Linked DNA regions of Macaca mulatta. The protein of the gene in region 2 interacts with the protein of the main gene of each other region in a pairwise test. Links are inferred from orthologs where the notes say so. Each region holds a gene or a part of one and is shown on either strand. Other genes may lie near its edges. The genes, in order: MYO9A, CDC42, PLEKHG4, CDC42SE1 and CDC42EP1.

Evidence for each region.
Region 1: the proteins of CDC42 (region 2) and MYO9A interact in a two-hybrid assay, tested with the Homo sapiens proteins (3 studies listed by BioGRID and IntAct). The link is inferred for Macaca mulatta from reciprocal best matches to the Homo sapiens genes CDC42 and MYO9A.
Region 3: the proteins of CDC42 (region 2) and PLEKHG4 interact in a two-hybrid assay, tested with the Homo sapiens proteins (2 studies listed by BioGRID and IntAct, with this or other methods). The link is inferred for Macaca mulatta from reciprocal best matches to the Homo sapiens genes CDC42 and PLEKHG4.
Region 4: the proteins of CDC42 (region 2) and CDC42SE1 interact in binary tests that used the Homo sapiens proteins (3 or more experiments, as listed by UniProt). The link is inferred for Macaca mulatta from reciprocal best matches to the Homo sapiens genes CDC42 and CDC42SE1.
Region 5: the proteins of CDC42 (region 2) and CDC42EP1 interact in binary tests that used the Homo sapiens proteins (3 or more experiments, as listed by UniProt). The link is inferred for Macaca mulatta from reciprocal best matches to the Homo sapiens genes CDC42 and CDC42EP1.

Annotation. Positions count from the first base shown.
Region 1 is NC_133412.1:49,452,561-49,457,947, forward strand, and holds part of MYO9A (unconventional myosin-IXa), read right to left. Parts: intron 3,833-5,387; coding exon 3,690-3,832; intron 2,540-3,689; coding exon 2,076-2,539; 3' UTR 1-2,075. UniProt on the Homo sapiens protein: Myosins are actin-based motor molecules with ATPase activity. Unconventional myosins serve in intracellular movements. Regulates Rho by stimulating it's GTPase activity in neurons.
Region 2 is NC_133406.1:218,932,126-218,938,069, forward strand, and holds the start of CDC42 (cell division control protein 42 homolog), read right to left. Parts: upstream 3,545-5,944; 5' UTR 3,507-3,544; coding exon 3,402-3,506; intron 269-3,401; coding exon 196-268; intron 1-195. UniProt on the Homo sapiens protein: Plasma membrane-associated small GTPase which cycles between an active GTP-bound and an inactive GDP-bound state. In active state binds to a variety of effector proteins to regulate cellular responses. Involved in epithelial cell polarization processes.
Region 3 is NC_133425.1:62,820,296-62,826,370, forward strand, and holds the start of PLEKHG4 (puratrophin-1), read left to right. Parts: upstream 1-2,090; 5' UTR 2,091-2,221; intron 2,222-2,590; exon of another isoform or gene 2,591-2,690; 5' UTR 2,691-2,740; intron 2,741-3,183; exon of another isoform or gene 3,184-3,275; intron 3,276-3,472; exon of another isoform or gene 3,473-3,874; 5' UTR 3,875-4,043; coding exon 4,044-4,545; intron 4,546-4,712; coding exon 4,713-4,808; intron 4,809-4,883; coding exon 4,884-5,007; intron 5,008-5,092; coding exon 5,093-5,186; intron 5,187-5,580; coding exon 5,581-5,658; intron 5,659-5,739; coding exon 5,740-5,853; intron 5,854-6,022; coding exon 6,023-6,075. UniProt on the Homo sapiens protein: Possible role in intracellular signaling and cytoskeleton dynamics at the Golgi.
Region 4 is NC_133406.1:116,038,698-116,044,878, reverse strand, and holds the start of CDC42SE1 (CDC42 small effector protein 1), read right to left. Parts: upstream 3,437-6,181; 5' UTR 3,312-3,436; exon of another isoform or gene 3,099-3,311; intron 2,603-3,098; exon of another isoform or gene 2,380-2,602; intron 634-2,379; exon of another isoform or gene 498-633; intron 1-497. UniProt on the Homo sapiens protein: Probably involved in the organization of the actin cytoskeleton by acting downstream of CDC42, inducing actin filament assembly. Alters CDC42-induced cell shape changes.
Region 5 is NC_133415.1:13,982,489-13,988,487, forward strand, and holds the start of CDC42EP1 (cdc42 effector protein 1), read right to left. Parts: upstream 3,925-5,999; 5' UTR 3,781-3,924; intron 2,572-3,780; exon of another isoform or gene 2,467-2,571; intron 991-2,466; exon of another isoform or gene 818-990; intron 1-817. UniProt on the Homo sapiens protein: Probably involved in the organization of the actin cytoskeleton. Induced membrane extensions in fibroblasts.

The DNA.
Region 1 (5,387 bases), on a different chromosome or scaffold from region 2:
AAGGGCAATCTCTTTTTTTTTTTAAATACAGGATTTAACCAACATTCTGGAGTAAGTGCAGAGTAACAATTAATGCCCAGCAGCACACTACTCCCCCAAGAACACTGAAACACAGACTGTGCAACCTGGCATGGGGCTAAGGAACCAGCAATCCCACTATGACACACCATGCTGAGGGGTTTTCCTCTGTCCTCTAGGAGATTCTCTGAAATTCAGATTTTTAAAAGCTTAACATTTAGTACTCCCCAGGACAAGACAAACAAGGTGGCAGATGTCTGTGGGATATAAAGCATAACATTTGCTCATTAACCATCATTATTCTGGAGATTTTAAAAGCTTCCTTTCTCTGGCTCAATTCTGAACCCAAAGCAGGGAGAGGTAAAACTCCTGCTACCTTTAGCTGCCACTCAGAATTATGCTCCAAGTCTAACCTCTGGGGCTGGCCAATAACCACTGAGGCAGTGGCATGAGGTTCAGTGTTGTGTAACAGGAGAGACTCTGCCTTAACAAAAGACTTAATATTTCCACAACTTCAAAGAAGTATGAAAAGGAAGAATAACCAAAATACAGGTTATAGATGGTAAAGGCTCTTTTTCAGAGCAGTGCATGTAGTAGCAAGACAAGATGCATTTAGTAACTTTAAAAATAAACATTTCACATACTTATCTCGAGAAAGGCTATCATGTTTCATTTTTCATATATTATAAATAGCAAAAACAGATTTCTATTCCCACAAATGCTAAGATACTTAAAATGTTATTACAACTCATGTGTATGAAGACCACCCAGTGGTGAAAATGATGTCTTACTATTCCCTCAACCCAGGGATGAATGGCTCTCATCCCCTTGTCCAGTGGCCCCTAATCTGTGGGAAGAAATTCCATGGGAAGGAGGGAAGCACAAGGTTAAAAAGAAATATGCCTACTATACATACATATTTACAATAAACTTCAGTAACCAGAATATTAACAAAAATAGCTTCAAGTAGTCCTTGATTTTTTTCCATCTATTTAATACTGATGGTCTGAGAAAAGGAAGATAAAAGTTAGATAGGTCATATTAAAAACCTTTTTATTTTTTGGCAGCTTTCTGTAACACTTATTCATGCAATATTGTATGTGAATATTTTTGGAGAACTAACTAAATGGTCACATTATTTGAGTCTGTGGTGGGAATCCACCAGCAGATGAACAGGCTCATATGTGGTTTTCGGTTTAATCTATACAAAGAGAAAAGCCTGAATGGCTTAGGATGGAACCTTCATAAGTTTAGGGATCACCATGTCTCTGGGAAACTAAAAATTAAAGTATAAGAATCTGATCCTAGGACCAGGAAATATGAGAACAGTATGGCTACTGACACTTCAGCCCATGCAATGTATTTGGCAGGAACTAAACAGGAGTCAAACCAGCACTGATTATTATGACATCAAACATCATCAAAAACAAAATAGGTATTCTCTTCTTCACCATATAACAAGATATCTGAGACACGCTCTGATGGCTTAATGGAAACAATCACTTTTTTTGCTTTCCCCAGAATATAACATGGAGTGTTTTTTCAGAAATCTTAAAATAGAGGGATTAGGCTTTTTGTTTATAAGTTTTTGGAAAAAAATTATATTCTACCCCAGCTCCTAACTATCCCAAAATAAACCCAAAGGCTTTTGCTTTCATAGTTAAGAAAGATTTATACGTTTTCTTCAAATGTCAGAAATGAGAGGGTCCCTCAGGTCAGCAATATCCCCCCTAGTTCAACACCCACCTTTGGGAAGGGAAAAGAGGGTGGGGGAGAGGCAACTATAACTGACCCAAATCCCCAGGCCCTAGGTGGCTTTGTTTAGTAAAATCTCAATTCAAATACAGCAGCCAAGGCACAGCTGGCACCATCCCCAGCAGGCTTTCTGCTTCTGCAGGAGGCCCAGGAATTCAGCACATACAGTCTTAGCCATATGCTTAGAAAAGAGGCAGGACCACAATTAGGATGGACTATTGTGGACAAGGTGATGAAACGCAGCCCCAAAGGTGAGATGTGTTTACCACTCTGTAGCCACGGAGGGACACACATCTGCCGGTTCAGACCATAAATTCATTATTTCCAAAGAGTGCTAGCTGTTGGTTGGAGGTGCAGTCTGGGTCCACAGTTTTTCTGCGGCCAGACATGACTGTTCCCTCTGGGGTCTCTTTGGTTTTCTGAGGTGAGTTTTTCACATTCTTTAATTTTTGTTTGCCCTTTTCTGGGTTGAAGGTTCCTCTGCTGATGAACTGAGGCCTGTCTTCCAGGGATTTGGTCTGGCCCAATGGTCCTTCCATTCCCAGGGCCTCATTAGCTGAGGCAGCTCGGTAGAATGGAGATTTGGAATAAATCTGAAATAGTTTTCTGGTCCCATGAGACGATGCCGTGTTAGACAGACATAAAGAGGAGACTGAAGAGTCCACTACATCTAAAGAGTCTTGCTGCTTTTTAAGCTGCTTTCGCAACTTGCTGGAAGGTTCAGACTTGCCAGCTGTCTTCAGGGAGCTAAGGGCTAAGCTTCTCTCTGAGGCAAAAAAGAGACCAAAGATGTAAATGACAGTGCCCTCTAAAGCAAATCATCATGTAATGAATAGGTGTCACTGTTCACACATGAAATTGGGTGGGATAAGATTTGGAGGTTCCAGGCTGACTTACTATGGGCACAGTCATAGTCAAAGAGAGCTCACCATCCATTTCTCTATATAGCAGTTCAGAATCATCCTCAAGGAAATCTGGTGTTTGACTATGCCACCAGTGGAGGCCTAGAACAGTCACTATCATATTAAAAACTGCCGGGATATGTAGATAAGTTCTACATCTCCCTGAGACATGCCACCCAGTTAAACACCTCCTTTGTATATGTATATAGTCCCACCTCACAGTGGGGCACAATTCCTGCCACGCTCAGAAAATGGGTCATGGGTCAGTAAGACAACATATATTGTGATTATTGGCTTTTCTCTGTGGTAAGTACAGGATAAAACATTAAATTACCAAACAAAACAAAACAAAACAAAACAAACAAACAAAACTCAATCACACTAAAGAGTTGGTTTGATAAACAATGTATGTGGAAGCTTTACAAAGACAACAGGAAAAAAAAGACCTTCCATGGAAGTCAGGAATCTAAGTAGCAAAGACAATTACATTTCTTATCCCCATCCAGATAGTGATAAGGACCTGTATGCCAAACGATGAAGGCTAAAACTATATGGATAAAAGGACAAAATTGGCCGGGCGCGGTGGCTCAAGCCTGTAATCCCAGCACTTTGGGAGGCCGAGATGGGTGGATCACGAGGTCAGGAGATCAAGACCATCCTGGCTAACACAGTGAAACCCCGTCTCTACTAAAAAATACAAAAAAACTAGCCGGGCGAGGTGGCGGGCGCCTGTAGTCCCAGCTACTCTGGAGGCTGAGGCAGGAGAATGGCCTGAACCCGGGAGGCGGAGCTTGCAGTGAGCTGAGATCCGGCCACTGCACTCCAGCAAGGGGGACAGAGTGAGACTCCGTCTCAAAAAAAAAAAAAAAAAAAAAAAAGGACAAAATTCCTCAGGACTTTGTTACTGCTGATGTATGGTCAGTGCATTCTTGAAAGACTTTGTCTTGGTTTCGGAATCTTTATTCCTCCTTTGCAAAACAAATCTGGCGTCTTTGGTCTACCATGTTCACTTACCTGATTTCTCAGAGATAGCACATTCAGACTCCATATTCAAATTTTCTGAGCTATCAGCAGTCCCAATGGAGGCCTCAGACTCAAGAGTTTCATCATCAGAGGCACGGGGTTCCAGTACAAGCATCTCAAATGTCAGCTCTTCCCTGTAAGATACAATCAAGAAACCATTAGCATATTTGATAGGAAGTGGAAGGAAGATAACAGAAAAAAAGATCCTCCATGAAAGTCAGGAATCTAAGAAGCAAAGAGAGTCCATTTTTACTGTCCCCATCCAGGTGGTGATGCCAAATATGGTGAACGCTAAAACTATATGGACTAAAGGATAAAATCATAGTCAATCTAGGACCAATAACAGGGGTAAGAGTAGGGTGAAGATGCTGTCGTGGTGAGATCTTTCAGTAAAATGAACTCTGGACTGATAATCAGGAGATCAGGGCTCTAACCTTGTTCATAATATCCATAATGCATCAGGAAAGTACCTTTCTCTCTCTGGACCTCAGCTTCCTACCACAAAACAAAGAGATTAAATTAGATAACCTCTAAGATTCCTTCCAGCTCCTAAACTATTTTCCATGAAGCTTACTAACTAGCTGTGGACTATATCCTCTACCTTCACCACAGAGACCTCTAGATGAAGAAAAACACTGATTGATCTTTTCTGTCCTTTGAAGCTTATGCCATCTTTAGTTATCGCATTCTCTAGTCTTCCTTCTTCATCAGTCACCCAGCTGCCTCTCAGTAATGCCCCACATTCCGTGATGTCTTTGGTACTCAGCTCCTAACCTTGCTTTCTCACTAATGCTTGACATCACCTGATCTATTCAATTAATATCTTTGTAAAAATTCATCTCAATATCCTAACACTGAAGTTCTTTTATGTCTGCAACTTCTAACAATATTTTCCTCCACTTTTGCTAAGCTACTTTCTCCAATGGGCAGATGCTGGAGCTTGTCATTACCTGAATACACCAACTGTGAATCCAATATTCTGCCCTGTTCACAACCTCCTTATCCTTCCAATTCTTACTCACCTTCTAATCAAGTCTCTTCCCTAACAGAGCCCCTTACCTTTACTTCCACTTTACCTAGCTTGAGATCCATGAACAATCATTTCAAGAATAGTATCACCAGTATTACAATTGTCTGAGGTCATGTGCATTCTGAGACTGTGCTCGTTCTTCTTTCTTTTTCTAGGGACTCTCCCCTTACTTGAAAATTCCTATGAATCCTTCAAGACCGCTAACATCATCTGCATCAAAGCCGAATTGGGTCTTCTTTTCAGATCACTCTTCTAGCAAATAGCCCCTGGTCAATGTACATCATCTTTGCCTTATCATGTTTTTTACAGCTGAGCCCCAGCTGCTTTTTTAGCTGGCCTATATATATTCCAGAATCAATCATGAGAGACCAAAAAAGTACTTTAACAGTCTCATATCCCCTTATAAGTCAAACTCAAGACCTGTGATCCTGGAACTCAGGAATAAAGATCCCATTAAGACTTTCTAAGAGTCATCAATGTCGACCAGAACTATTACACAGCACCTTTAGGGAGAACCATGGCATGTTCATATTATCCCCAAGGCATAATGTCACCCAATCCCTGCAACAGTGATGAATGGAGGTAAAAGAGCTTCTTATTTGTCTCTCTCCTAAATTGCAATCAATTTCCCTATCCAGTATCCTAGCACTCTCTAGGGC
Region 2 (5,944 bases):
CCAAACTCCTATTTGCCAATCCAGGTCTGGGACTGCTCCTTGGTCAAGCATCAACGATCATTATATTCAATCCTGCTAACTAATAACAAAAGGCAAGTACTCTGCTCATGTGCTAGTTTCTCAAAATATCCACAAGAGACAAACAACTAGCAACTGTTAAAAATCAAAACAGTATAAAAGACATTAAGTTTTCACCTGCAGTATCAAAAAGTCCAAGAGTATATGGTTCTCCACCAATCATAACTGTGACTGCATAGTTGTCAAAAACCTAAAAACAAAAAAAATACAACACTGTTAGTGTGCAAGGAGAGAGCTAAAATGGGACAGAACAACTCTTAAGCTAAGGCAGTGTTTCCTTGCTAAGACTTAATCGTCCCTTAGTTCATTCATCATCCTTATATAACCAATCTTGCCAACCAAGTACCTTGTGTGAGCTAAATGGTTCCTGGAAAAAGACAAAGGATGTGTTCTGAGATTTCTGCTCTACCACAGCAGCCTGGATAAAGAGCCAGAGAAGGCTTAGAGGTGTCACAGGAGCAGAGTCCTCTAGCTACACAAAATGAACCTGTTCAAGTCTGAAACTTTTGAGACAGTGGTCTACCTCAACATTCAATCTGATTCCTAAGAAATTATTTCTTCATAGACCATTTTCTTTTCATCTAGAAATAAAATCTCCTAGATCCATGACCTTTCTTCCTTTCAGAGTCCTAGAAAAGATAAGCCTTGTTACAAACAAGCCCATTTGAGAGAAATAACGGTTCCCTCAAAGTACTCAAAGTGTCCAAGAAAAGGCTGACAGATTATTTGCTGGGATTTTTTTTTTTTTTTTTTTTTTTTTGAGACAGAGTCTCCCAGGCTGGAGTGCAATGGCATGGTCTCAGCTCACTGCAACCTGCCTCCCGGGATCAAGCGATTCTCCACCTCAGCCTCCTGAGTAGCTGGGACTACAGGTGCATGCCACCACACCCAGTTAATTTTTGTATTTTTAGAGAAAATTTTAGAGACGGGGTTTCACTATGTTGGCCAGGCTGGTCTCAAATTCCTGACCTCATGATCTGCCTGCCTCAGCCTCCCAAAGTCCTGGCATTACAGGTGTGAGCCACTGCGACTGGCCAGCTGGGAATTTTGTGAGTAAAATTCATGTTATTGGGCACAAACTGCATGATGTGAGACATCTTCTGTAACAAGATGCTTAATATGTAAATAGACCATAAAACCCTTATCAAATTCAGTACAGCATATACTAATATTGGTTGTACTAAGTTATGTGTGAAAATGGGAGGTTTAACAATGCTAAATGGGAAAAGACCCAACACAAATTCTGGAGTCTTTAGAATTAATTTACAATAGAAAAGCAATGCTTTCATATACAACTATAATCTGTCAATTTACAATAAAAATTTAAAAATTAAATGATATATATAAAAAGAAAAGCAAAGCTTTCCAACTAGGAGAAGAATGCCACATTTTAAGACCAGCCCTACTTAACCTTTGGGTACCTACTCTGATTTTCTGATTTATGTTTTAACAGACTGCTCAAGAGCTTATTTAAATGTAAAGAAGAAGAGAAGCAAGGGCCTGAGGGAGATGACAAAGGAAAGTTCGTTCTTAAAAACAAGAACAAAGAAATCGAATGAATGTGATTAAGCTCTCAAACCAAACACATAACTTTCTTAAATCGCACTTAAGAGACTCAAAAACAACCCTCCTTTACTGGATTGTTCATATCCAAAACCAGACTAAGAATCAGAAAAGCTGGCTTCCATTCCAAAGTCTACTTTCCCTAGTGTAATTACACTAAGTAATTAAAGTCAGACTTCTAAGTCTCATCCCTAAATTGGGCCTGAGTACTCTCATCCATAAGCGATGGATAAGACAGTATGTATTGTCCCATTCAACTCTGAATTTCTATTACTCTAGAAACGGCAAGCTCCAATTTATAGATGGGAACTAAAATGCATTTTACACCAAATCCATTTCCATACTAACTTCAACAGGTACCATGAGAACATTATTTGTGCCTCATGGTCCATTCATTTACCTAAATCGGCTCATTTAAAATTTTATTCTACTACTCTTCCTTCCACCCTATCACTTTTCCAGAGATGTACACACAAACATACATATAAAAAACCCACAAGCCCACTTAAAATACAACACCAGAAGATCAAAGTCATAAAAGACTCAGAAATTATGTTTACAAGTTAAACAACTTCAATGGAAACTAAAACAGAAAAACTCTGATAGCTGTCCTCACTCTGAAACAAGATTCATATACCTCTAAACGTCCCCTGTAAGTCCACTGAACCTCACAACATCTTCCATTTATCTTGTCTCCAAATGGGCCAATTCAAAATATCAATGTGATTTTAGTGTTTAATAATACCTTCAAATTCTCCCCCCTTCAAAATAAACAACTTTACTTATTTTTGAGACAGCGTCTCACTACCTTTCACAAATGAGTGTTACTCTAACTCTTGTCTCTCTCTCTCTCACTTCAATATCTTTGTTATTCCCACCTTCCTTCTCCCATTCCAAAGAGCTGATTTAAAAAACAGCTGTGGGGTCGGGCATGGTGGTTCACGCCTGTAATCCCAGCACTCTGGGAGGTCGAGGCGGGTGGATCATTTGAGGTCAGGAGTTCGAGACCAGCCTGGCCAACATGGTGAAACCCTGTTTCTACTAAAAATACAAAAATTAGCTGGGCGTGGTGGCGGGCACCTGTAATCCCAGCTACTCAGAAGGCTGAGGCAGGAGAATTGCCTGAACCCAGGAAGCGGAGGGTGCAGCAAGCCGAGATCGCACTACTGCACTCCAGATAGAAGGGGCGATAGAGACTCCGTCTCCAAAAAAAAAAAAAAAAAGGTTGTGGGGGGTGACCCCCAAAGGTTTCTGTTGGTATTCTCATAACATAACAGGTCTTCTCTTCTCTGCCCCTAACAACCAGTTTGGAGCTCCATTACTGCTAAGAGAATAGTTCCACAAGAAAAGTGGAGACACATACAACTTTCTCTCAAGTTACAGGACCCCAAATGGTATCCCAGGAGACCTCCAAGTACTGTTCAATAACTGGCCAAAATATCCAAAAAAAAAAGTCACCTCATTCCAAGATGTAGGGCATACTTCACCAAATTGAGATCACCACTCGTTAGAATCTTGTCTACTGGAGTTTTGCCTCCCAGCACTTCTTGTAAACCCTTGTGTCACCCCTTCTGACTTTCCACTGATTTTTCAGCTGTTTAATTTTAAAGTGTATATAATTTACCCATGAGAAGTCAAGATCTTTAAAAACAGGAAACAAAGGCAGAAAACAGAAAAAAATTCAGTACACACAGAGAAAGAATTTTCAAAAGGGTATCAAATTTTACATTTTACTAACAGAAAGAAGCCTTTATACTTACAGTTGGTACATATTCCGATGGAAATTTGTTTGTTGTGTAGGATATCAGGAGACATGTTTTACCAACAGCACCATCGCCCACAACAACACACTTAATTGTCTGCATTGCTGAAATAGTTTTGTATCCACTTTAAATATTTCAAATCTGATGTTGACCTGCAAAAAGATTAAAGACATGTTTGTTTATGCTTATATATGTATTTTTTTTTCCTCACTTAGCAACAGGTTAAGGCACTCAGAGCAAGAAAAGAACTAGCACAATTATTATGGCTAAAAGAACCCAATAAGAGAAACAATGACTTGCTATAAGTTACAATAACAAATAAGGTTCATTTCTAAGTTTCTGATCCCTGGCTGTTTCAACTTCTTAAGTGTTATTTCAGAAGGTCCCAACTGGTGTGATAAACAGCAAATTTATTTTTATAATGAAAAAGAAGAGACTGTATCAGAGAAAATTCCACATACTGTACTAAATATTATTTTGTGAAAGCTTTTCTTCGGTTACACGTGCACACACACCTGTATGTATGCATGTATGTGAACTAGACTGCAATACAAAGGCCACCGCTTTAAAGAATGGTTCATTATCCAGCCTTACTCAGCCTTACTCAGGCTCTGACCAACAAGCAGTAGAGCCTCACACGAATTATATGAGTAACGTGAGGAACTGAACAAAGAACAGGGTGATCGCTGGCCTCAGCAGCTGTTTTAGCACCAGAATGCCTAGTCCAAAACCTACATTTTTATAATGAAAAGTCAGACTGCTCTAAAGCATACTGACTTATAAACAGATACTACAGCTTCTCTTATTCGAGTTCTCCTCAATTTTAAGAAGTTATCAATTACAAGTACCAAAGAGTCATTAATTTGAGAAACTTTTTTTCATTTAAACATCTCTAAAGTCAGAATGTATCTTTATTGAGTCTCTTACAATCATTATCAGCCATTTTTCCCCCACATTTTGACTTCTATGAAATTGGAATCTTAGATTCAATGAAATACTTTAACAGTTTTCTGAAAGAATAAAAAGAAATACCACCCAATATATACCTAAATTTTAAGATTTATTTATATGTAAATTAATTTAAATTATAATCCTAAAAGGGTTTAATTAAACATAAAAATACAGAACCACCTAACTCTTGGTCAGATGCCACCATGCTCCTATAGCACCATTCACAACAATTAATCATAACAATTTATAAACGCCTATTAACATCCCTGTAAATGAACCTATAGTACCTCAAGCACCACTATACTTCTAGCACTGAGCACTTCTAGACTGGCACACTGCGAGTTGTTGAAAGGATGCAAAAATCAAGAACACGAAATTACACTAGTGTGAGTAACCTACAGGAAATACACACTCTCCCGTTCCTCATCAAAATTATCTGCAGTATATTTTTCTTTTTTTAAACAGGGTTTTACTCCCATACCCTAAGCTGGAGTGCAGTGGCACAACCTCAGCTCACTGCAACCTCCACCTCCCAGACTCAAGCAATCCTCCCACCTTGGCCTCCCAAGTAGCTGGAACCACAGACACATGCCACCATGCCTGGCTGGGTTTTTGTTTTGTATTGGTTTTGGTTTGGGTTTTTTTAAGAGATGGGGTCTCACTGTTACCCAGGCTGGTCTTGAATTCCTTGGCTCAAGCAATCCACTCGCCTTGGCCTCCCAAAGTCCCAAAGTGCTGGGATTACATGCATGAGCCACTGCAGCCAGCCATATTTATCTTTCTTTATTCAACTTCCTTTTATATCTCTTTTTTCCTTCTCCTTTCCCTTTTATGCACTAAGAAGCACCCATACTAATACAGCATTAAAGGTTAACAACCCTCATCCCTAAGATCAATTACTGGTTAAATCTAAAAGCACTCTCAAATAATAGTAAGCAGCAAACACTTATACAGCATTTACTAAGTGCCATGTACTGTTCAAAACATGTTACACATATTCACACATTTCATCCTCCCAAAAAGCCTATGATGTGCTATATTATCCCTATTTTACAAGCAAGAAGAGTGAAGCTCAGCAAGTAAGCAAGCCAAGGCTATTCAGCCAGTAAGTGGTAGAACTGTAATTTAAACCCAAGCAGTCTGACTCTCAAGTCCCTGCTTGTTTTTTGTTTTGTTTTTGCGTGTGTGTGTGTGTGTGTGTGTGTGAGTGACAGAGAGAGAGAGACTCTCATTCTATCGCCCAAGCTGGAGGGCAGTAAGACAGAGAGACAGAGACAGAGACAGAGAGAGAGAGAGAGAGAGAGAGAGAGAGAGAGAGAGAGAGAGACTCACTCTATGGCCCAGGCTGGAGTGCAGTGGCGTGATCTCTGCTCACTGGAATCTCTGCCTCCCGGGTTCAAGCGATTCTCCTGCCTCAGCCTCCAGGGCAGCTGGGATTACAGGCGCCCGCCACCACAACTGGATAATTTTTGTATTTTTAATAGAGACAGGGTTTCACCATGTTGGCCAGGCTGGTCTTGAACTCCTGACCTCAACTAATCCAACTGCCTGGGCCCCCCAAAGTGCTAGGATTATAGGTGTGAGCCACC
Region 3 (6,075 bases), on a different chromosome or scaffold from region 2:
GCTGTAGTCAACACTTTCAAGTCAACAGCCCCAGCTGCCACTCATCAGTGTCATTCTGGGTGTGTTACATGCTCTCTCTGAGCCTCAGTGTCCTCATCTCTCAAATGAGATAATCATACTCACTTCATAAGGCTGCTGTCAGGATTAAATGATAAAATTTAATGGGAAGAATCTACCGATAGCCTGGCTCAAGGTAAGGGATCATAAATGTCATTATTTGTCAGGCTGGGTGTGGTGGCTCATGCTTATAATCTCAGCACTTTGGGAGGCCGAAGCGGGTGGATCCCTTGAGGTCAAGAGTTTAAGATCAGCCTGGCCAACATGCCAAAACTCCATCTCTACTGAAAATACAAAAATTAGCTGGGCATGGTGGTACGCGCCTGTAATCCTAGCTACTGCGGAGGCTGAGGCAGGAGAATCACTTGAGCCTGGGAGGCAGAGGTTGCAGTCATGGGGCAGATGAGCATGGTGGGTTTGATGGGGAGGTAGGCAGGTGTCTTGGATGCAGGAGAGCAAATGCATCAAGCGCTCATCCATGGGTCATTGCCATGTGACTGGACAGGGTGGCTTGAGCTGAAAGAACTTGGCTGGGGAAGGCTTCGTGAAGGAGGTGCTGCACCCAGGCCTCAATGGAGGAAGGATTTTGATTAGGGGAGATGGGCATGGGCCTTCAAGAAGAGGAGCCAGTGTGAGACTAGACTAGTGATCAGATTTGTTTTCCAGGCCAGTCTGGGAGGTAGATGGGAAGGCTGTGATGCTTCTAAGTGGCCTTGACTGTCATACCAAGGAGTCTGGAGTTTATTTAGGTCAAAGGCAAGTGAGGTCTGGAAGTTCTGGGGTATTTGTTGCCCTCAGTATTTGGGGTAGTACTGAAGAGGGGTGTGCAAGGCGAATGACTATGGGTCTGTTGTCACTAGGCCCAGTGAGGCCCAGAGCCCTCCCCTCCCTTTTTATTTATTTATTTATGAGACAGAGTATCGCTCTGTCACCCAGGCTGGAGTGCAGTGGCGTGATCTTGGCTCACTGCAACCCCTGCCTCCCAGGTTCATGTGATTTTCTTGCCTCAGCCTCTCAAGTAGCTGGGATTACAGAAGCCCGCCACCACATCTGGCTAATTTTTGTATTTTTAGTAGAGACAGGGTTTTGCCATGTTGGCCAAACCAGTCTGGAACTCCCGACCTTAGGTGATCTCCCTGACTTGGCCTCCCAAAGTGCTGGGATTTTGTGGCATGAGCCACAGTGCCCGGCCCATTTTATTTTTTGATTGAGTCACGTCGGCAAGAAATGGGAGGCTGAGGGAGAGTTGGGGAAGGGTCAGGGGAGGGAGGCCCATTCCCATTTTATGATCTCAGTGGAAAAGGCTGCTGTGAGTTGATTCTGCTGCCAGGAGAGCCACAGAGATGGGCCCCATGAGTCACTGCTCAGTCCTGCAAGCTCAGCCCACAAAGCCTGCTGTGGTCAGCCACCCCTGGCTGGCTTCAGGCCCAGCTCCCCAATATTCCCCACTAGGCCTCAGTGTGTCCTCATTTCTATCTGTACCTTTGCCATCCTGGGGCCATGCAACCTGTAGCTCTCTGCCTCTTCTGTCTCCTTTCAGGCTGAGTCTCTGAATCTGTCTCCATTTGTGACTCTGGTTTCCATCTGATACATAGATGTGGAGCCTCAGGAGGGCAGGGGTAGTGTGATGAGGGTCAAGCGCCCCAAAGCATTTATTCTGTGCCAGGCCCTGTGCCGGATGCTGGAAGGACGGAAGTGGATAACATACAGTCTCTGTTTCCGTGAAGCTTACAATGCACATTCTCTGTGGAGTGGAGAAACCAGGGCCTAGCCCTGCCTCTATCTCAGTGTGGCTGTACCTCCCCTGAATCTGCCTGCTGTGCCCAGAGTGCCAGGGTCAGCTATAGCCTGTGGCTTGAGGCTTTTCTTTGCCTCTGGCATTCACAGGGGTATGTGTGCCTGCCAGCAGGTCCCTCCCAGCTCTTAGGGCTCCTGGGGGCCTTGGCTGGTGGGTGCCAGTGGGCAGCAGAAGGGGAGGGAGGGAGCAGAAGGCAGTGACTCAGTGGGGGTGGCCCTGGGACAGAACCGGGGAAGAAGCCAAGGTTGGAAGATGCTTTCTGAAGCCAGCAGGGTGGGAAGAGAGGTCTGGCTGGGAGTTAGGGATAGAGCAGGACAACTCCAAGGCTCCCCTCTGGCAGCCAGACCTGCTCATGAAGGTTCCTCGGTAGCTGCCTGAAAGTCTGGACTCTGGGGGCTGGGCTGGGCTGGGTGGGGAGACTGCTGTTGGTCCTACTGTGCCTGTTGTCATCCCCACGTTCGTGAAAGAGGCGCCTGCCTTAGAGCCAGGGAAGCCGTAGCACCGGGTGCCCCCTCTTCCCAGGGACCATGGGCCTGGGCACACCTTGGGGCTCAAGGTCTTCTCCTGGTCACAGAGCTGACCTTCCCACAATCTTCCCACAAATTCTGGGGAGTGTCAGGCCAGGCCCACATGCCCCAAAGGGAACTTAAATCACACAGCTACCCAAGTGACTTTCATCAGTTCAGGATTCCCTGACTGGGGGTGGTCAGGGTGAAATGAGGGGGCAGGGCACCAACACAGCCTGAGTGCTGGCAGCAGGTGGACGTATAACATAGGGAGTCTTCCCCAGTACTCATGGCAACCCCAGGAGAAAAATGACTTTCCATTTTTACAGGTGAGGAGGGTGAGGCTCAAAGAGCAGAGTTCCTGGAGAGCCCCCAGCAGGTAAGTGGAGAAGCCAGGCCTGGGCTGGGTGCTCTGGCTCCAGGACCCCACCTCAGCACCAGCCTCCTGCATTGGACTTTGTGGAGAAGGGGGTAAGGGGGTGCCACGGATGGCAAAGGGGTGGTGGATCTGGGGGACTCTGGCAGGCCTGGATCAGTTCCACCCATTGGTCTCACTCCCACCCCGATGGCAGCCCCATCCCGCGTGGGATCATGCGACCTGTCTCTGGGTGCCCGCGCCGAGGCAGCGTCCCGCTTCCCTACACAGAAGCCCTTCCCCTCCCGTCTGCCGTCTGCTCATTCAGCCGCGGAAGCCCCTGGGAGCCCCCACCCCTCCCCATCCCGCAGTGCTCTCCCCGCCACTGCCCCCCGCCCCCCCCCGCCCCCCCCCCCCCGCCGCGCACTCACCCTTGCGCACCCACGCGGCCTTCGTGGCGGGACAGCGCTTCCGGCGTCCTTGCCAGGCCCGGGAAGTGGGCACGGTGGTGCTGCCGGCCGTTGGTCGCTGCCCCGACCCACGCACTGCGACGCCGCGGGTGGGGCGCGCGATCTGCGGGGCCCGGGGTTGCGGCGGGGCGGGGCTGGCGGGCCGTCCGGGCCCGTGGAGAGGACCGCGGCGAGCGGGGGTTGCTGAGGGGGCCGGAACCTCATCTTCCCCGCCGGCCGGGCTGTGCCCCGTCGAGACCTGCGCGGGCTGTGGCTCCGTCCTCCGGCCCCCAGGGGGCGGCGCGGCGCGGCGCCGCGCCCCGGCGGCCCTGCCCTCCCTCCCTAGCGGCCAGGAGGCGGTGCCCGCTGACGCCGCGCGGGCACGCTGTACTCGCCGTCGAGGCCGCCGTCTGTTCGAAGGCTCTCCGGCTTCGCGGTTCCCCGCGAAGCGGCCCGGGGGCGTGAGTGTCGCCAGAGGGCGACGTGGGGCGCGCGCCAGGCCCCACAACGAGGCCAGGGCCCGGCGGGGCCGGCGGGAGAGCGAATACGAGGCAGCGTGGCGCCATGGCGGGGCCGCCCCCATGGGCATGGGCCTGCAGAGAGTGGCCGTGGGGACGCTGAGGGTGGGCGCGCACGGAACAGAGGCCCACGGGCGTCCGACAGGGGACCTGGACAGAGGGACGCCCCTAACATTATTCCCTCTCCCCAGGCCTGAATTGCAGTTCCTGTGCCCTGGCACTAAGACTGGCACCTTCTGCGGCCCATGCCTTTCGCCTGCATTGCCCACTGAATCCCACTCGACTGTCTTCAGCCTGGTTCACACTGAGGCCCAGCCCTCTCCCACTGGCCCGGAGCAGGCCCACCTTTAGGAGGGCGTGATGGAAAGGCCCCTGGAGGATGGGGATGAGTCCCCAGACTCCCAGGGCCATGCCACCGACTGGAGATTTGCTGTGTGCAGTTTCAGGGATGCCTGGGAAGAGGAAGAACCTGCTTCCCAGATGCAGGTTAAGGACCCGGGTCCTCCAAGACCACCAACCGGGGCCGCCCAGGATGAGGGGCTACAGGGCAGCCCCTTGTCCAGGAAGCTTCAGTTACTCCTGGCTGCAGATGAGTCGGGGGATCCCCACAGGGGCAAAGTAGAAAGCTCCTCCGTCCTGTCAGAAGGGCCAGGTCCCTCTGGAGTGGAGAGCCTCCTATGCCCCATGTCCTCCCACCTCAACTTGGCACAGGGTGAGGGTGACACCCCAGGGGTAGGGTTGGTAGTGGACCCAGGTCCAAGCAGGGTGATGCCATCTGGCTTGAGCCCTGGGGGATTGGACAGCAACCCTGTGGGCCTTGGAGACCCTTTATCAGAGAAATCATCAAAGCTGCTGGAGGCAGGTAAGGAAGGCTGGGCTAGGGAAGTCTGGGAAGGGAATAGGGATGCCTGGAGAAATGAGTGTCAAGACCTTGGAGGTCTCTGACCCTACTCAGGCTGAAGCCGGGATCCAAGGAGGGGTCTCTGGATAGGTGGCCCAAGGCAGACCCAAGTCATTTCCCTTCCCAAGCCCCCAGTGGATCCAGCTTCCCTAAGCCTGCTGACTGCCTCCTGGCCCAAGACCTCTGTTGGGAGCTGCTGGCCAGTGGTATGGCCACCTTGCCAGGTAGCTGGGAGGGCCTAGAGGCGGTGGAGGTGGAGTGGCCCAATGGGGCAGGAGTTCACTGCTTCCTCCCCATAGGGACTCGCGATGTCCAAGGCCGGGCAGTACTGCTTCTGTGTGCCCACAGCCCAGCCTGGCTTCAGCCTGAGTGCAGCAGCCAGGAACTCATCCGCCTCCTGCTGTACCTGCGAAGCATCCCCAGGTTTGAGGGTGGGGGTTGGGAGACTGAGCCTGAGCCAGCTGTGAGGACTGGGAGTCAGGTACTGAACTGAAGCTCACCCCTTTAGGCCCGAAGTACAGGCACTGGGACTGACAGTGCTAGTTGATGCCCGAATTTGTTCCCCAAGTTCTTCCCTCTTCTCTGGGCTCAGCCAACTACAAGTGAGTACGGGATTGTAGCTCCCCTCATTCCTTTTCTCTTTTCTTTTCTTTCCTTTCCTTTCCTTTTCCTTTTCTGACGGAGTCTCACTCTGTTGCCCAGGCTGGAGTGCAGTGGTGCGATCTTGGCTCACTGCAAACTCTATCTCACGGGTTCATGTGATTCTCCTGCCTCAGCCTCCCGAATAGCTGGGATTACAGGCACCTGCCACCATGCCCAGCTAATTTTTGTATTTTTAGTAGAGGGGGGTTTCACCATGTTGGCCAGGCTGATCTTGAACTCCTGAACTCAGGTGATCCTCCTGCCTTGCCTCCCAGATTGCTACAATTACAGGCATGAGCCATTGTGCCCTTTTCTGTAGAGTTGGGGATAGGGCTGAGCTCAGGTTCCTTGCAGGAAGCAGCCCCAGGGGCCGTGTACCAGGTGCTGCTAGTGGGAAGCACGCTGCTGAAGGAAGTGCCTTCCGGGCTGCAGGTACTAAGCCCAGTTAGGCTAGGGGTAGAGGCGGGGTGCCTCCTCCCTAGGCCTGGGTCACAACACCTTCCTCTCCTGTAGCTGGAGCAGTTGCCCTCTCAAAGCCTGCTGACCCACATCCCAACGGCGGGGCTGCCCACTTCACTAGGAGGAGGCCTGCCTTACTGCCACCGGGCCTGGCTGGATTTCCGGAGGGTCAGTATACTGGGCGGGGTGTGGGGGCAGTTATATAGGCAACTTGGGATTGCAGAGGAGCCTCTTGGACTGGCTTGAACAGCACAAAGCTGGCTGCAGTGGCCTGGAACCCAGGAAGCCCGGGACCAACACTGCGTGCTGCTCCAGTCATGCCTGCCCCTGCTTACAGCGGCTGGAAGCCCTACTGCAGAACTGCCAGGCGGCTTGTGCCCTGCTCCAGGG
Region 4 (6,181 bases), about 100 Mb from region 2:
AGTTTGACTCTTAAGATAAAGGAACAGAACCAAAAGGCCACCAAGGGGTTAAGGAGCAGTGGCTGGTGGTACCAAGGGAGAGGAAGGGGGCTAGAAGCACTTAGAGTTAAAAGGATGGGCGAGGACCAAAGGACAGTGGCAGAAATTAGCAAAGTTTGGGGTGCTAGAAGCTCCAGCTCCCTTCTCTCTGAGTTTAGGGCAGAAGGGGAGGGGCATTTAAGTGACTCTGAAGAGGAAATAGTGGTTTTTTGTTCTCACAAACAAGGTCTCCACCCTGTCCCTGCGTTTTTTCTTACCTTGCCCTGAATGCTAGAGTTTCTTTAAGAACAGGGGAGCCCTGGACCACTGAGGTCCTAGGAGACTAACTGACAGGTTGGCCCTCAGGAAAGACTTTCTACAATGAGAAATGTTTTCCCCCTCTGCTGCGCTGTTCCTCCTGATTTCCCTCCAGTGAAATCCAATCCCTCCCAGAAGCCAGTTAGCAGTTCCTTTATTACCTGACCTTGAGATCCTTCCTGAAGGCTGTGTACATTCTGTTTATCTGTGTCCTGTATCACTGCACTCCTGTGTGTACACCTCTGTTTGCACATGTGTGGCATGGCCATATCTCCACGTGTGTCCAATACAGATCATCTGTGTACAGGTTGTGGGTACATGTGCCAGGTATCTTCTGTCCCATGAGGAATATTTTCCCCACCGTCCACATGTCCTATCTGCCACTCTGCTCTGCCTCACACTCTATAGGGCCCAGGCTCCCCTCCAGCTGTGACCTGTTCTCCCCTCCCTCCTCACCAATTCCATCCTCAAGCTTCGTCAGTCAACCAGACACAAGGAACTTTCCAATAGTACTAGTGTCCAGGGAAGAACTTCCTCCCTTCTCACTACTGCCAGCCAGGGTAGGACACATCTGGGTTTCTTCTTAGACTCACTTGCATTTCCCCAGTCCTATAGTACAGACAACCTCAAAGATTCCAAAAAGGGGAGTTTCATAAATACGACACTTTAACATGAACAGGAATCTCCCTTTCTTCCAGGCCAGGAACACTGATGCTTTGGCACCCCAGACTGATTTAAAAACAAGAGATAGGCCGGGCGTGGTGGCTCACGCCTATAATCCCAGCACTTTGGGAGGCCAAGGCGGGCGGATCACCTGAGGTCAGGAGTTTGAGACCAGCATGGCCAACATGGTGAAACCTCATCTCTGCTAAAAATATAAAAGATTAGCTGGGTGTGGTGGCGCATGCATGTAATCCCAGCTACTTGGGAGGCTGAGGCAGGAGAATTGCTTGAACCCGAGGTTGCAGTGAGCCAAGATCATGCCATTGCACTCCAGCCTGGGCAACAACAGCGAAACTCCACCTCAAAAAAACAAAACAAAACAAAAAAACAAGATAGCAGGGTGTAGTAGCATGCGCCTGTCATCCCAGGTACTGGGGAGGCTGAGGCAGGAGGATCACTTGAGCCCAAGAGTTGGAGGCTACAGTGAGCCATGTTTGCACCACTGCACTCCAGCCTGGGTGACAGGGCAAGACCCTGTCTCAAATACAAAAAAAAAAACCACAACAACACACATACACACATAAAGAGAGGTTTTTTAACAGCCTTGAGATGAGATCACACAAACACTCAAATGCAGCGTCTAGGGGAAGGGAGAACCCAGGAGGCTAGGCTTTCTCTTACTTCCCTTCTCACCACTGGAAGGGAGGAGTAACCAGAAGGAACGGAAGCTAAAACACAGCTGTCCAGAGAGGAGAGCTGTGGTCAGTGGGACGTCAGTGAGTCAGTCATAGGGTTTATCCTGATGGTGGTGGTGGCAGGTGGTAAGGGTTGGGGGAAAATGAAGAATTAGAAGAAACCCCCAACACCAGCAGGCAGGCTGTACTGTGACTGGACTCTCCCTCAACATCTCCTGCCCTGCTCAAAGCTGAGGGACAGAGGTGGATAGTGCTGGGAGCGAAGAGGAGAAGAGAGGGGGAGGAGGAGAGAGGGAAAGGGGCAGTGCAGAGAACAAGGCCATTTCTGTTTCTTTTCCAGGGACCTGACCAGAGCTGGGTGGAGGGAAAGTGTGTGTGTGGGACTTGGCATGAAATGACCAATGATGACGAGATGTGACCAGGAAATTCCATTCCCTAGGACATTAGGGTCTCTGAAACTTGAGGGTGGGGTCAGAGTGTAAAGACAGGTCAGGGTGAATGTGATGGTAGCGCAGGGAAGGGGGGATGGGAACAAAGCCAAAAAAAGGAAGTAAGAGCCACTGGCGGCCACTCTTCTTTAAAGCAGCCAGAAGAGAGTGGGTTGAGGAAAAATGAAGTCCTGAGCTGGTCAGCCCAGGCGGAAGAGCCACCGAATCCAACCCCACAGTGGGTAGGGAAGGGGCTGAGAAATCAACAGGAGGGATGAGGATTAGACTGCATAAGGCCACGTCCTTGGTGCTCAGAACTCGGCCTCTCTGAGTTCCAAATGGCAAGAGTGAAATATGGAACCGGGAAAGCCACCCCCCACCCCCACCAAGATCACACTAGGACTTGAGGGTCTCAAAGCTGTTGGGAGGTGAGCAGAAGGGTTAGGAAAGAGGTGCCAGGGAGGAAGGATGTACAGGCTAGTTCTCTGGTCCCATTCGGGCCCCAAACCGGTTCACCCGGTCCCACCGCCTCTGGCCCTAAGGCCTCCAACCCGCGGCCTGACAAGCCCTCACATGAAGCAGCTGGAGAGAAAGAAAGAATCGAGAGAATGGAATGGGCAATTCTGGCTAGAAGCCCGGGGCAGCAGCTGGTCCCTGTGTGCAGACCCCTAGACATGGAGGGCTGCGGAGGGGCTCTGGAGAAGTGGAGTGGACTCCATATTTCAGCCAAGTGACAGGCCCAGCCCCAACCTTCCCCTTCCCCAGGAAAGGTCTTCTGGGGGCTTAAGAGGAAAGAGGGCTAGGCCCTAAGCCTCCCCTCCCCAAATATATTCAATCACTCAGATTCCATATCTGTCTCCCCCTACTACCCAACTCTACCCAGAAGTTCTCTGCTCTTCCCAACCCTTAACCGGATTGGGACCTCCCTGGGAATCTTTCGGACCCTCTCCTTCCCACCCCCACCCGAACATTCCAGTTCCTTCTTTTCCTTCTACTCTTCAGCGGCCTCAGCCTGCGCACCCCAGGAGGGTGGATGAGGACGGCCACCCCGGGCGCGCACCCCGTTCCCAACGCCCCAGCATCTCTGCAGCCCAAGACATCCGCCTTCCCCACACCCCGCATCCGGTGTGTCTCCGCCTGGCCCTGCCGGCGCGGCGGGCGGGCTGGGGGACCAACTGCACGGCCTCACCTGCTCTTCTCCGGTATCCAGACGTTCAGCTACAGCTGGCGGGGGTGAGGGGCTCTGCTCCGTGGCCGCCAGTGTGGGCTTCCCGGGCTAGCTCTGCGGCCCGGTGGGGGAGCCCAGGACGAGCCGGCAGAGGTGGGGCCGGCTGAGGGCGGAAGCGGCGGCGACGCGATTACGAAACCCGTCCGGCTAGGAGCCGAGCGCACAGCTCCCCTCTGGACTGCGGAGGCACTGCACTGTGCGAGGCGTGGGAGGGTGCCTCTGCAGCCCCCCAAGGCCGCCGCCCCTGAGGGGAGAACTGGAGAATGCGGACACGTAGATGAGGGCCTGGTACCCAAGCTGGGGCCCCTGAAATCTCAAGTTCCCTTTGCGCGCCAGGCATTTCGGGGCAAAACGAAGCGGAGCCCCCCAAACCCCGAGACCTAACCAAGTTCAGAGATTCGCAGAAGCACGCCCCCCCACCCCAAATCTCTTCTGTGCTCTACCCAAAATGGAATAGGACTAGGTTTATTTACCCATTGTGAGGGTAGAGAGGCGAGTCGGGAGGATCAGGGATTGGGAGAACGGGTGGAAAAATATGATTCTTAAAAATACCTTGTAACCTGAAGTCCTTAAATTGTAGAAGAGAGGAACACTACTTTCCATTGTAGTCTAGAGTTAAGATTTCAAGTCCATAAATTAGAGGACCTAAAATTAGAGGGCAATTAACTGCTCATTCATTGCGCCCCTAGTCAGCACGGGGATGCTGGAGGAGATCGGGAATAATAGCGCAGACCAATGAGCCTACGGAGACGCTTTAATCGTCTCTTTCCCTCAAGTGTTCTGGAACCTATCATTTGAATTAGCCGAGTCAGGCAGGAGGGGGCGGGGAAATCCTTCCGCCCTTCTTAGGAGGGGCTGCATTGCAGGGGGAGAGCTAACTGACAGACTCAGTCACTGAAGAGGGAAAAGGAGTGAGAAGACAAAGCCGTCAAAGCCCCAACAGCTTTGTATTTCTCCAGCCCGGCACAGATCCCGGAGCCCCCGAGGCACTCCCTCCATCTTTGGAACACGCCAGTAATTGATTGATAACAGGTAAACCAAACTGAGGGAGGGGGGCAGGGGGCTGCAAAGATAGAAGAGCGGCTGCTTATGGTTAGATTGAAAGACCCCACATAAGGTGGGGGACAGCTGAAGAGGAGAGAAGGGGGCGCTATGAACAATGGGTAGTTATTTCTTCACAGCATCCATGCCTTGTTACCTTGTACAGACCATTAATTTCTAACAATTTACATGTAGTTATTTCTCAGCACCTACCTCCTTATTTCAGATATCCTTTTCTGTAATTTATTGTCCTGTGTATTTAATATATTCAGTCTACTTCCTTTTCAAACCATAATTTGTTCTACCAGCTATTTGATGAATCTTTAGTCCTACTGTATCTCTCTGCCCTCTACTTCCCTATACTTGCAATTTTTTTCCGTAGTGTTCTATGTTTCTCTGTAGGAGGGAGTTTGGGAGGGGGTTATATGGGATAATGTTCAGTGTAATCCTGACCTTTCTTTGGACCATCTCTTTCACTCCACCTCAAATCTTTGCTCCAAAGAAAGAGGCAGCCTGGGGTAGGAAAGGTGGGGGCCTCTGTGTTGGAGAACTGCCTGATTCCATAGTGAAATCAGTATAGCCCACAGGAGCTAGCTATGGGGACAGATTCTGGAAAAGAATGATTATTTGCAGCTCAGTGGAATTGGTGGGGGAATGCTAATAGGAAAATCCAAGTTCTGACTGAGGCACACATTATGAGATGCCAGAGAGCTTCCACTCCCCTCTACCACCACCACCACCTTGTCTTTCCCCATTCCCCATGGTGGCAGCATGACACAGCAAGGCCCTGTTGAGTAGGCCTTGGATGCCCACAAAGGGTCTGGACAAAGGATATTTGGGTGTGTCTGTGTGCCTCCGAGAGAGATGTATCTTTCTAATCTATATATTTGCTAATCATGTATATCTAAGAACAGAGTGATAATTAGAAATTGCCTTTACCTAAAATACCTGGATAATTTAAAATGAAGGTTAGTGGGAAGCATTTATTGAACATATGTTGTGGTACAAGGCACTGTCGAAACCCTTTAAGTAAATGATACCGTTTAACATAATGATAGATGTAAAGATAGATGAAGTAGGGGTGGAGAGCATTTGTGGAGGGGAAGGGGAAGCTAGCCAAAAAAGGAACCTTTTGCAAAATTTGGAGTATTTGATAATTAAATCCATACTGTATTAAATCAAAAATGTCATTACTATTTACATTAGTGAATAGTATTTTAACTTCAATTTTCTGTGTAGTCTTACTTTATGTTCTTGACTTGATTTTAATGCCACATATGCTTGCATGCATGTCTTTCTTGAATATATTTTGTACCCTGTGTACATGTCTCTGGGTCAATGACATAGAGATTTTAGGCCTTTTGAGTTAATGTTTCATAAAATTTCCTTTAGCTTTTTAAATTGCAAGATAGCTCTACCAAACACTCAGGGACTATTTGAGCAGTTTTTTATACATAGTCTGGTTGTAAGAAAAGGAGTCAATTTGTCAAAGAGCTTTTTCTTTTTCTCAGATTCTAGCTTGCTCCCTACTGCCCTTTGCTTTTCCCCATTCAGATCACAATTATAGGAACAATCACCTAACCTACGGAATATCTATTCTTCAGCAACTAAGAATTATTTTAAGTTTTGGGAATACTGGTATAGGTTTATATAAAACTGTTGGCAACTATCCATGTACAACACAAAAAGGGATCAGATTGGGAATTATGAGACCTGGATTCTATAGAAACTGGCTGGAAGTCTTCCCATTAATTTCTAAGATGTCTTCTAGTTTTAAAATTCTGTAATTT
Region 5 (5,999 bases), on a different chromosome or scaffold from region 2:
ACTCCCAGGCTCAAGCGATCCTCCCACCTCAGCCTCCTGAGTAGCTGGGACTACAGGCGCATACCACCACGTTCAGCTAAGTTTTTCCACTTTTTGTAAGGACAGGGTCTCACTCCATTGCCCAGGTTGGTCTCAAATTCCTGAACTCAAGCCATCCTGCTGCCTCAGCCTGCCAAAGTGCTGGGATTACAGGTGTGAACCACCACACCTGGCCTCCCTGACTTCTTGAGGCAGCACCTCTTCTCCCAGCAAAAGGGGCTCCTCCCCCCTGAACCCCCATGGCCACTTTTGACTTGGGGCACCAGCTTCCTCCCCAATCTTGTGATGATCCCATCTTTCAAATGTTTCTGGGCACCCCCCAATAGTACCCATCCCCCACGCCACCCTGCCTACTGCAGTATAGAGACTCTGCAGGCCTGTGGAGCTGAGGGCAGGGTACTGGGACCTGCCTCCCCATGTGGAAAACGGGAACAGCACACCAGACAGTTCCCCTCCCAGGGGAGTTGCAAGGGTAGAAAATGTAATGAAACCCTCAGATGCTGGATAGAGCAGGGCAGCTATGGGTTCAAATCTGACACCTTTACACTAACATCTCTCATTACAGGGACCCCTGGTGGCAGCCACGTGACACTTGCTGCCAACCACAGGGCACTGCTGGCCATCAGGTGTGCCTCACCTGGCACTAGGAGTAAGCACGGCTCCAAGTGTCTTGGTGCCAGGCTCACCTCCCCTCACCTGCCCAGGAATACCACCCGTTAGTATTGAGAACACCCCTTTTACAGATGGAAAAAACAAAACTTAGAAAGGAGACATTTACCCTCAATCACAGGCCAGCATCGCTGATAAATGCCCCAGGGTGGGGGTGAAGACGATGGGGAATGGGGAAGAGGATTTGGAGGGCTTGGATGCCCAGTGCTGAGCACGGTGTGGGGTGCAGGTGCAGGCCTGGGAAGACAGGAGACCAAGCTCTGCAGATTCAGCGTCTGTGACCTGGGCAAGGAGGTCATCACACAGCTTCAGTGTCCCTGGAGTCCTTATATTTACCCTATAGAGGATAGTCAGGGCCTGGGCGCATGGCCTGAGCTCACTCAATGGTGGGAATGACGCAAGAACAAGTTTTGGAGCCAGGATCCGGCCAACAGGGGCCGCTGTGGAGGCACATGTGGTCGCGGGGAGGCCAAGGGCCGCTCTGAAGGAGAGCGGGGACGGCTGCAGCCTGGCATTCACCTGGGGGTCACCCGCAGGCCGCAGTGCTGGCCAGGGGCCCACGTCTCATCCTGGAGGTCACTGCTCGGGTGCACACAGCCCCCTTCCTGCGGGCATCCAGCTGGGTGATGCCCCCGCCCTCTACCGCTGGACAGCGGGTCCCTGTCTTGGTTACGGCAGCTCCCCCAAACTTGCTCTGGTCCCTGGGTTAAGGGGTTAACCCGGGCGGCTGGCTTCTCCTTCCCCTCAAAGTCCAGACGCTTCAAGGTGGAGAGACGGGGAAACAGGCCAGAACGGGGTAGCTAGTTGTTCTCAGTCGCGCTAGGGGACCCGGTCCTCCGTATTCCAAGGGGGGCACCGTGGGCCATTGGGGAGCGACGGGAAAAGTGGAAAGGAGACGCGCTTCGTGCCCACCGCCCCGAGTTAGAGCCAAATCAGCCGTGGACCAGGCGAGGAGGAGCGGCTGCGAGCTGCGTCTCGGGTTCCCGCGCCACGTTTCGTGTCGCTGCGGCCTCCCGGCCAGTCCTCTCTCCTCTCTAAGCCTCAGTTTCCCGGTTTAGGAAAGGGGCTTCGAATCTTGCGGGTCTGGCACGGCTGGGGCAAAGGCAGAACAATCTGGAGGGCGACCGGGATTGGAAGTCCGGGAAAAACTTCGACCACCCAACGTTCCCTGGGGGGACGCGGGAGCCTGGGGCTCAGGACGCGGAGGGTCGCTCCGCGGGGGAAGGGGACGGCCAGCTGTCTTGGCCAGAGGGGAACCGGACGGGATGACCTCATCCGCGGCTCCAGCCTGGAATGCGGCGGTCGGGGAGGGGGCAGGGTGCCTGTCCATCTCCCCGGGTCCCCCACCCCCCACTTCCCGCTCTCCGCGTGGGCCTCGGCGGAGGGGATACATTCCGCCGCGTCGCCCGCTCCCGGCCCCTGCCCTTCCTTCCCCCGCGCAGGAAGGCGCGGAGACAGCCCTCGCTCTGTCCCTCGGCTCGCCTCCTCCTCACGCAGTTTGGCCGCTGAGTTTCGTCCGATCCTCTGCCCCCTCCGCCCGCCCGGAATGGGACACGAAGCCCGAAAGTTCGGAGTTTCCCCGCGCGGCTCCTCGGCCGCGCCCGGCCTTCCCGTGGGCACCCGGGGGCGCCTCTCCCGGGCGGGTCCGGTCCCCCTCCCGGCCCCGAGAGCCTAGGAGGGTGCAGAGCCCTCGCAGGCGCCCGGACTCGCCGGCCTCCACGGACTCCGCCCCGAGGACCCGCGCGCCCCAGCTGTTACCTGGCTTCGCGAGCCCCGGGGACGCGGGACTAGGGTGGACTAGTTCTGCAGCGGCGGCGGCCGCGCGTCCCGGCTGGCAGCCCGGGAGAGTTGCTGGGCCGGTCTGCGCCGCCCTGGCCGCGGGCTCAGCGGGCTGGATCCGGGGGCGGGGGCGGGGTGTGGGCGCTCCCGCCTCCCGCCCCTCTCCTCCCGCCAGCGGGCGGGGCCCGGCCCCCTCCCCGGCCCCCTCCTCGGCACCGTCCTCGCCGCCGCCGAGAGCTGGCGGGGACGCGACTGGGGGGCCAGGCCAGGCCTCTCTCCTCGCCACCCCGGCCAGGGTCAGATGAGGAACGTGCGGGCTGCCCCGGGGAGGCGACTCCGGTCCCCGGCCGCCAACCCCTCCTCCACCGGTTCCCCGCGTGGCCTTAGGGCGTCCAGGCCTGATGAACTCGCCTCCCTCCTGGGCCCTCCAGCAGCGCCCTGCGGGAGTTTGGGGAATCGGGAAGCTCGATCTGAGGCCCTGAATGCCTGGGCCTTTAAACTTTGATGTTTACAAGCATGACATGCCCACTCCTTTCCTCCGGATTCTCTTTCCCTTCCACCCGGTACAGGCCTCGCGGTGCCCAGGAGGAAGACAGCCACACTGGGGCGACGGGTAGAGTCAAGGCCGGGACCCTGGAGCCGGACAGCCTGGGCTCCTGTCCTGCCTCAGTCACTACTTACCTTTCTCTGCCTCAGTTTCCTGATCTGAAAGTGGGATAGATAATAGCAGCATCAGATGTTGTGTCAAGTGTCCCGTGCTCCAAGAGCACCTAGGAGGCTTGCTTGGCAGGTAAATGAGGTCGCATCTCAGAGACTTTACAGATCCCGCCCCCCCACCTCCATGGGGGGGGGGGGCAAGGAATCAGCCATACCCGGGACCCTGTGCCATCATCAAGGAGGGGAGATAGATTCTGGCCCCCGCCTCCTGTTGTCGTGCCCTCCTCTGACTACTCTCCTCTGACTATAGAGTCCTCGGGCTGTCAGGGCACAGGGAGGTCCCTAACACTGCCTGAGGTCCTGGGGCCTCAGGAAAGCTTCCTAGAGGAGATGATACCGGAGTTGTCTTTTTTTTTTTTTTTTTTTTTTGGCGGAGTCTCGCTCTGTTGCTCAGGCTGGAGTGCCTTGGCACAATCTCGGCTCACTGCAGCTTCCACCTCCCCGGTTCAAGCGATTCTCCCTCAGCCTCCAGACTAGCTGGGATTACAGGCACCCGCCCACGCCCGACTAATTTTTGTATTTTTTAGTAGAGAGGGGGTTTCGCCATGTTGGCCAGGCTGGTCTTGAATTCCTTACCTCAGGTGATCCGCCTGCCTCGGCCTCCCCAAGTGCTGGGATTATGGGTGTGAGCCACTGCGCGGTTGTGAGTTAAGTCTTAAAGGACGTGTAGGCAGAGGGAAGGGCAATGGAAATGCATCGTGCACAGCTGGCAGGGGGACAGCACAGCAAAGGCTGGGAGCGGAGGACCCGGCAGCGGAGGCAAACCTGGTTGGAGGAGACTGGCTGAGCGCTGTTGTGGCAGGGGACGAGGAGCCGTATTTACCCACAGGTGGAGGAGACAAGGTCTTTACTGTTCACCCAGGGGCTAGGCCTCTTCCACGGGCTCCCTGAATCCCCATGCTGGCCGCCAAGGGAAGGAGCTATTCCTGCAGCTGGACAAATGAGGAAACGGAGGCACAAAGCATTCTAGCATTTGCTCAAGTGGCACAGCAGTAGGAACTCTTTCCCGGGGGGCTGGCCCAGGAGCATTTTGTCCCATGGAGAATTGAAACAGCATCGGGACAGTGAGCCAGCAGGCAGCACTGGCAGGTGTAGATTTAGAAGACTGACTGTTGGCAGGCTGGTTGCTCACGCCGGTAATCCCAGCACTTTGGGAGGCCAAGGTGGGCAGATTACTTGAGGCTGGGAGTTTGAGACCAGCCTGACCAATACGCTAAAACTCCGTCTTGACTGAAAATACAAACATTAGCCAGGCGTGGTGGCAGGTGCCTGTAATCCCAGCTACTCGGGAGGCTGAGGCAGGGAGAATTGCTTGAACCCGGGAGGCAGAGGTTGCAGTGAGCTGAGATCGCACCACGGCACTGCAGCCTGGTCAACAGAGCGAGATTCCGTCTTAAAAAATAAAAATAAAAAAGTGCCAGTTGCGGTGGCTCACGCCTGTAATCCCAGCACTTTGGGAGGCTGAGGCGGGCGGATTACTTGAGGTCAGGAGTTCATGACCAGCCTGGCCAACATGGTGAAACCATGTCACTACTAAAAATACCAAATATTAGCCAAGCATAGTGGTGGGCGCCTGTAATCCCAGCTATTCAGGAGGCTGAGGCAGGAGAATTGCTTGAACTTGGGAGATGGAGGTTGCAGTAAACTGAGATCATGCTACTGCACTCCAGCCTGGGCGACAGAGCGAGACTCTGTCTCAAAAAAACAAAAAACAAAACAGAAGTCTGACTGTGAGTGAAGAATGGACTGGAAGGACAGTGATGGAAGCAAATAACTAGTGATGCTGTGGTTGTTACTATTAATTGCATCAGCAGTAACCAGCACTTAATGAGCACCTGATGCATACCAAGTCCTGTAGCTCCTTAACAAGCATTATGACATTTAATTCTTGTGAGAGCCCCATGGGGAAAGTCCTGCCATGGTGTCCCGTTTGCAGATAAGTGAAGTGATTTGCGTAAAACCCCCTACTTTGACAGGATGGCCATACTTTCCAGTTTGCCTAGGACAGCCCAGATTACACATACTGTTCCAGCGTAATTATTAATAGCACTTCCTTTCATTCTCAAAGGTGACCTGTTTAGACAATCAATTACACGTCACTCTAGTCAGAGGATCCCTAGAGCGGTGGTAAAGGAGGCAGTTTGGTGCAATGTCAAAGGCCCTGAGCTCAAATCCCGGCCTAGTGGCTGACCGTGGGCAAAGCACTTGGCCCATGTGAACCTCAAGTTTCTCATCTCTGAAATGGGTATAATAGCAGTGTGGGTATTTACTAGTTGGGTGTTGTGAGCCCCAGGCAGATGACCGAGCAAGCAGTCCTGATGGAAGTGGCTACAACCTGCCCCATGCTTGCTCCATCTTCTTCACCCGTGGGCAGGGAGGGCCGGCAGGAAAGAAAAAGTGGTTGAGAACCTCCCTACTATATGCCACATGCTTTGTCTTCTCCAGCTCATTGACAGGAAACCTGTGAATCAGGAATTCTTGCCCCCTTTTACATCTGGGTAAGCTAAGGCAGAGAGGAGCCCTCTCCCTCCTTTGCAGCCTGTCTCCAGATAGAAATCTATCTCCATGTAGGCTGTGCCCTCGTTCCTGGCTCCACTCCTGATTTAAGGATCTGACTCACGTTTTCCCTCTGGAAAACGGGAGAAAGGGAGAAGTTTCAATATCCCCAGGAAGGATCCAGGGTTGAGTAGTCTCCCTTTCTCATGCTTTTCTCCTCCTCCAATTTCCTGCAGTCCCCTTACTTCCCTTTGAGAGGCTGTGCCCAGGAGTGCAGGGGTTAACCTCGGCAGGACTGT